Linked DNA regions of Tribolium castaneum. The protein of the gene in region 1 purifies or fractionates together with the protein of each later gene. This does not show direct contact. Links are inferred from orthologs where the notes say so. Each region holds a gene or a part of one and is shown in the gene's direction. Other genes may lie near its edges.

Region 1 (3,745 bases):
GTTCAAGTCGCCCTTGAATTTCGCCACGTAGAGACACATGGCGCACTGGTGCCACGTGATGGCCTCCGGGGGCGTATGCCTCCGCAAAACGTGCGTTTTGAGGTAATTTCTGTCTTTCGTTTTGAACTCGCATAAATGGCACGGGATTAACGAGGGGACCCCGGGGGGCTGGCGCGCGGGCCGCTGGACGTGGTGCAGCGTCCGGGGGATTCCCTCGGAGCAGTAGAGTTTTATCGTCGTCTCTCCCGACTTATCGACCAGTTTCATTAACATCAACACTGAGTTTTTATCGGTGACTTTACACCGACTTGAGTAAATGTGGTTCAAGAGAATCAGTCGGGAGTAAGTTTTGAAGTTGCAACTTTCACAAACGTAGCACACTGTCTCATTTTTTTGTCGATATATGGGGATTTGTGTCAAGGAATGTGTCTTCAGTTGGGCCAAAAAGGGGGTTAAGGTACGACACGAGAGGCATTTGTACGGTTCGAGGAGGCCGTCGATGCACTTGTACGGTTCCAAAACTCTACGTCTCTTGGAATTTGAGCTGAAAAAGGTGGATGTTGTGAAAGGGTGGCTTCGAGAACTGCGGAATCTTTCGGAGCCAAGGGGGTGCAAATCGATGTCCCCCATCTCACAGTTCATTAAGAACGTACACAATTCGGGTTAAAACCGCATTTTTTAATGTTTTATTTCAAGACATTGGTTAGGTTATGGAGCGTAGTTCGTATGCACTGACAGTCGGTGAAGGTGCACTAAAAATTGGGGTGGGACTGTGGAAATTACAGTCGACCAGACAACTGCTGCGCTTGCAGCTGGCACCATTTCTCAATCATTTAAATTAAAACTTAAGTATACATTCAATTTCTGCATTTTTATATGTCACTAATCTATCACTATAATATATCAAATAAAAAAAAGACATAATCTGTCAATATAAATTGCACAGCAAGAGTTGATCTAAAGACTTTTTGAATGCTTTGTTAAAATTTAAATCGTTGTTAAAAGTTAACAACACGAATGGGCCAGTCCAATTGTTTGAATGTGGTCACGTGACCAGTTAATCACGCATTTAATTGTAGATTAAATTAATGACGCTTCTATAAACCGGTACTAAAAGTGTTTTTACATTATTTTATTTATAAATTCGTTTGATGAATCATTAAAAACGTTTGTTTGATACGCTTTTATATTACCAATAAAAAAAATTAAATTGATGTTTGGGCGAGACCATGACCCCCGTTCCCCCCACCTGGAACCGCCCTTGGTGGACAAACACCCCTCGGGAAAGACTACCGCTAATTATTACAAATAATAAATTAATTAAATCAGTTAGCTCACGCCAAATGATCACAGCCTTCAAAAGGATTTCAAACGCTTGCAAATTATTTTTCCATAAAATTTAACTTCGACTATAAACTACTCTCACCGAAGGTCACACGAGTAGTTCTGTTGCACACCATAACCTTAAAAAACATGTGTTTGTAAATTTGTAATGCGGAAAAAATGGTACAAACTACGGATTTTTACAATACGTGCCTCTCAGATTTTAAGGAGATAACGCACAAACCTACAAATTTCCTCCAGTGAGTTATTTTATCAATTTGTGTAACAGTTGTGTAAATTTTTTGCAGGATTAGTGACCCTCTTTGTGAGAAAATCAAAACTAGCTTAAAAAAATGTTACGATTACGCGAAAGCGGAGGAAATCACCAGAACGGACGCTTTGCCACAATTAAATGTAAAAAATTTCGACTTGGAGCAAATTTGGCAACAAATCGAGTTACAAAACGAGAATTTAACCACCAAAAGTGTGACTTGTGTTAGCAGACTAATCGCTGGTAAAAGCCGACTTTTATTTAAAAATCTAGACAAGAGTGGAATTAGCGATGACGGAAGTGAAGTTGAAGAAAACGATGATGGAAGTGAAGTTGAGGAAAATTCGGAGCATTCTGACACCAGTGGTGATGAATCAAACGATTTAAACGACGTGGAGAGCTCTGATGATGAAGTCGAGACGACCGAAACGAGCAAACCCGTAAAACGGTCAATCGTCGACGATGATTTCTTCAAACTGGACGAAATGGAGCGTTTTCTTCGCGAAGAGGAGAAGAAAGAGGAAGGTGTTGATTCCGGCAACGATTCTGAATCTGAGGCAAGTGTTGATTTATTTGAGGCTGATTCCGATGACTCGGAAGATCACGCAAAGACGGCGAAATACAAAGACTTCTTCGTCCAAAATGAAGAAAAGCCGTCGACTTTCGAATTGCGCCAAAAGCGTCTGGCTAAGAAAATCGAAGAAATTGAAGAGGAAGCAATTCAGGACAAGACTTGGCAATTAAAGGGTGAAATAACGGCCGAGAAACGGCCCCAAAATTCGCTCCTTGAGGAGGTCGTGGAGTTTGATATGACGACAAGGCCGCCCCCTGTAATGACCGAACAAACCACAATGCAGTTGGAGGATATCATAAAAAGAAGAATCAAAGACAAAGTGTTTGATAGTGTGGAACGTAAGGCAAAGCCGGTGGAAAATTTGTTAGACTATAAGAAAAAAATCGTCTTGGACCAGGAAAAAAGCAAAGAGTCTTTGGCACAAATCTACGAGAAGGAGTTTCTTCAAGCGCAAGAACCCGAAGATAGGGAGAAAGAAGAACCAGAGCTCCACAAGGAAATTAACTCTTTGATGAGGAAATTGTTCACGAAATTGGACGCTTTGAGCAATTTCCACTTTACGCCAAAGCCTGCAGTTCCCGATTTGAAAATTATCAGTAATTTACCGGCGATTAGTGTGGAAGAAGTGGTGCCAACTGCGGTAAGTGATGCCACATTGTTGGCACCTGAAGAAATACAAAAGAAACCAAAAGGTGATCTCGTCGGAGTGAAAGAAAGGACAACGACTGATAAAAAAAGGGAACGGAGAAAAAAGAAATTGAAGCAAAAAATTCACGCCAAAAATAAGAAGGAACCAGTCAAGAAAGCAAAAAATGTTAATTTGGTGGGTTTTGATTGGGTTAAGGGCTTTTATTTTATTTCCTTGGTTGCAGATGGAGGACAAGGGAAAGAGGATAAAGTCGTCCAAGGAGTTTTTCAATCAGTTGCAAGAACAAGTCCAGGTTTCGCAAATTAAGAGAAAAGCGGCCCCTACTACCAATAAAAAGAGCGCGAAAAAATTAAAATTGTAAATGAATAAATCCTTACTGTAAATTGCGTGTTTTTCTCATTTACCTACAAATAACATAACTAACAATTTCAAGTGATAAGCGTTGATAAGCTTATCGTTGAATTTTGATGTGGTGAACATAACCTCAATTTTTCTCTTTAAAACCGTTGATAAAATGTGCTAACGCGGGTTTCGCCATGCATATGTCGTTTTGGTGGGACTACAAACTTACCGACTACCTCTTCCGGGGGCTGTCGTCACACTCAATCGCGGGCCTTGTCGGTATGTGTCTCAGCGTGGCCTCCATGTCTTTCGCTTTCGAGTTTCTCCGTTACCTGCAAGCCAAACAACGCCAGAAAGAACTGATCCTCAGGTCGGAGCAACTGAAAACGATTTGCCCCACTGAGACCTCGACACTGCTTGATGGGACTCAAGCGCCCCCCGGGGTCACAATCACGCCAATGCACAGGTTGTACTATTACAAATGTGAATAAAAACAAGACGTTTGTTTTAGAACGTTTTTATTCGTCTCGGAGATTGGGCTCTGGTTCTCTTTACAAAACTTAGGTTATATTTTGATGTTGTCTGT
Region 2 (2,858 bases), on another chromosome or scaffold:
TTGAGTTCGTTTAGCGTTTGTGTCCTTTATTATTTTAATTATATAACGAATGAACTGGTTATTGAACTAGTAATTTTATACAGTTACTTGCTGTCTTTTCCGAGCTTGATTTTCGTACCTTTCGGGGCTTAATCCCGTTTCTAATAATGGTGACTATACGAGGCCGAACACAATCTGGAGGTATAATTCTTGGAGTGTGTGTAAGTGAGTTATTAAATTTCGTATTGGACAGTTTTTTTGATCGCAAAGTGTCGGTTTTCGTGTATTCGATTCGTTTGAACATCTCGCCTTTCCCACTACAGACGTACTCCTTACCGTCCTCTAAATCGTCCAAACTACAAACCTGGGCGAAAAAATTATTTATGGTGTCTTGATATCTGATCGGTTAATACTTTTTTGCCTTCCATTGAGTAGATGTTGCGCACACCGCTGGGGAGAGTAACATTCTTAGTCAGAATGTTCGTCAGTTCGGTCGTCAGACTGTCAAAAGACCTGTACCGTTCGGGGGCCACTGGTATGACAACTCCGTTAAAAAACTTATTCCCGTTATGGTAAAATCGGATTCTTTTCGCTTTCTGCGTCCGCGACGTCGACGAGGGCCTGCTTTTACTCAAATTTAGCTCTTCAATGCCGTTATCGATGATTTCAAAGTCGGACTGTATGCTGTTACAACTGGTCGAGGAGACGCTTCGGGAGCCGCTGATGTTGTTCTTCGACATTTTGCCAAGTGGGATCGTCACAAGGGGCGTGAAATCATCGTAACATCGTTGGTGTTTAATCAATGGGGCTGTTTTTAACCAAAACTACAAACTGGTACCGCCTATTTGCCAGCTGTCACCGAAACTACACCAAACATCAACTCCACAGATCCCCAAACCACTCTTTAGCGATTTTCAAGGTACACTTCACACACAACACAATCAAACTATAATCTCATTATGAAAAAATTAGATTTTGTGCTAAACTAACTGTTTTTACGGTTAAAAAGGTAATAACCTCTTTTCGGCAAGTGGGAGGGATGCTTGTTACGCATGGCAGCCAACCCCACGAAAATCACAGCTAAATTAAACGAAACGTAATTTCACAAACCGGACCTTATCACACGTTGGACACGGCCACAATCACAGATTGTTTAACAAACTGATTAAAAATAGCCCGCGTGAGTCAACAATTAATCAACAAATTAAATATTTTGGCCGGCGGAGTTGGCACACATGAGTGTCACCTTGACTGATCACAATTTTCAAAAATGGTCCGGAAATTAAAATTTCACGAACAAAAACTCCTGAAAAAAGTTGACTTCATATCGTGGGAAGTCGACAATAATTTGCACGAAGTGCGAGTGCTCAAAAAGTACCACATTCAGAAACGCGAGGATTATACAAAGTGAGGTTAGGTCGGTTTTGACATTTGTTTTATTTTATTTTGTAGTTACAACAAATTGGCCCGTAATATTAGAGAACTGGCCCGCAAAATTAAAGAAGTGGACGCTAAGGACCCCTTCCGGACTGAGAAAAGTGCCCAATTGTTGGAAAAACTGTAAGTTGGAACGTTGTCAAAAGTGAGGTTATGTTTTTTATTTTTAGGTATTTAATGGGGTTAATACCGACAAGGTGGGACTTAAGTCTGGCCGAGAAAGTGACAGCTTCGTGCTTTTGTCGGCGGCGACTGGCCGTTGTAATGGTTAGAAGTAAGTCGTTGTTATTGTTAGAATTTTGCCCCAAATTAATTTCTAGATAAAATGGCTGAAAATATTAAGGGGGCTACTAAATTAATTGAACAGGGGCATGTCAGGGTTGGGCCCGAGTTGGTCAAAGACCCAGCATTACTTGTAACTAGGACTTTGGAAGATTTTGTAACGTGGGTCGATAATTCCAAGATTAAACAACATGTGCTTGAATATAACGGAATGGTAAATTTTTTAAATAATGTAGAACGTGGTTTTTACCATTTTTTTTCCAGAGAGATGATTTCGTGTTGTGATAACATTTTCCTTATTAATTTTAAGTGTAGGTGGCAACACTGTCAACTAAATTTAAATTTGGTTACTCAGTTGGTTTGGTAAAACGAAACACCAAGTCCTTATAAATTTTTATTGTTTTTCCAAAACATACAGGAATTGTAAATCATTATGCCATACATGAGTGTATCAAAAATAAACAAAACCCAATTCTAAATCTTGAAAACTACAATTAAGATGATTACCAACTGTTGATACATTTAAGCAGAAGTTGTTCCAAAAGGTAGACTTTTCAATGTCTTTCTAATAATAATTCAACAAAGAAAGTGAAACAAACATTCGTTATTCGTGTTTTTCTCGTCATCTCTAATTTGTCAACATTCGTTTCCTGCACCAAAGATAACACTAGTTATTCCGCATACGCTATGCAATACTTGTGAAGCCTCAAAATTTGTACAACACACAAAATATCCAAATAAGCGCTTTTTCCGCCATTTATGGTTACTTTTTTGACCTAGCTGAGTGGCGTCTCCAACGGTAATTTTACTAAATGATTTGTCAACACTCCATAGTATACACACCAAGTCCTTGTATAGAGGTGGTTCCAAATCTGGTGGCGAACTGTCAGTGACATAAAAGTCTCTTGCACTCACTTGGTTAAGATAATGAAATACATAGACGTGCATTTTTTTCACTAAAATTTACCCAGTTGTTATTTTAACATTAATAAATTTTGAGAACGAAGATACATAAAAAAATTACTATTACTGTTAATAATCTGATCATTATTCTTCATCTTACGGATCTCATTATATTTTTTTTAAGACTATCAGTGGATTTGAAAATCATTTTATTACGCCTATGGGCAATTTTTTTTTCAATAGCAAACATGTGTTTA

What was found.
Region 2: the proteins of U3 small nucleolar ribonucleoprotein protein MPP10 (region 1) and U3 small nucleolar ribonucleoprotein protein IMP3 purify together in Homo sapiens (affinity purification with mass spectrometry; 4 studies listed by BioGRID and IntAct, with this or other methods). This does not show direct contact. The link is inferred for Tribolium castaneum from reciprocal best matches to the Homo sapiens genes MPHOSPH10 and IMP3.

Annotation. Positions count from the first base shown.
Region 1 is NC_087399.1:8,513,070-8,516,814, forward strand, and holds U3 small nucleolar ribonucleoprotein protein MPP10, read left to right. Parts: upstream 1-1,424; 5' UTR 1,425-1,503; coding exon 1,504-1,583; intron 1,584-1,631; coding exon 1,632-2,991; intron 2,992-3,040; coding exon 3,041-3,178; 3' UTR 3,179-3,200; downstream 3,201-3,745. Other genes in the region: zinc finger protein 142, read right to left, coding at 1-630; protein SLC31A2, read left to right, coding at 3,354-3,625, 3,671-3,745. UniProt on the Homo sapiens protein: Component of the 60-80S U3 small nucleolar ribonucleoprotein (U3 snoRNP). Required for the early cleavages during pre-18S ribosomal RNA processing. Part of the small subunit (SSU) processome, first precursor of the small eukaryotic ribosomal subunit.
Region 2 is NC_087400.1:10,480,926-10,483,783, forward strand, and holds U3 small nucleolar ribonucleoprotein protein IMP3, read left to right. Parts: upstream 1-1,181; 5' UTR 1,182-1,249; coding exon 1,250-1,386; intron 1,387-1,431; coding exon 1,432-1,539; intron 1,540-1,586; coding exon 1,587-1,690; intron 1,691-1,736; coding exon 1,737-1,912; intron 1,913-1,962; coding exon 1,963-1,983; 3' UTR 1,984-2,296; downstream 2,297-2,858. Other genes in the region: serine/threonine-protein kinase GL21140, read right to left, coding at 119-343, 393-719. UniProt on the Homo sapiens protein: Component of the 60-80S U3 small nucleolar ribonucleoprotein (U3 snoRNP). Required for the early cleavages during pre-18S ribosomal RNA processing. Part of the small subunit (SSU) processome, first precursor of the small eukaryotic ribosomal subunit.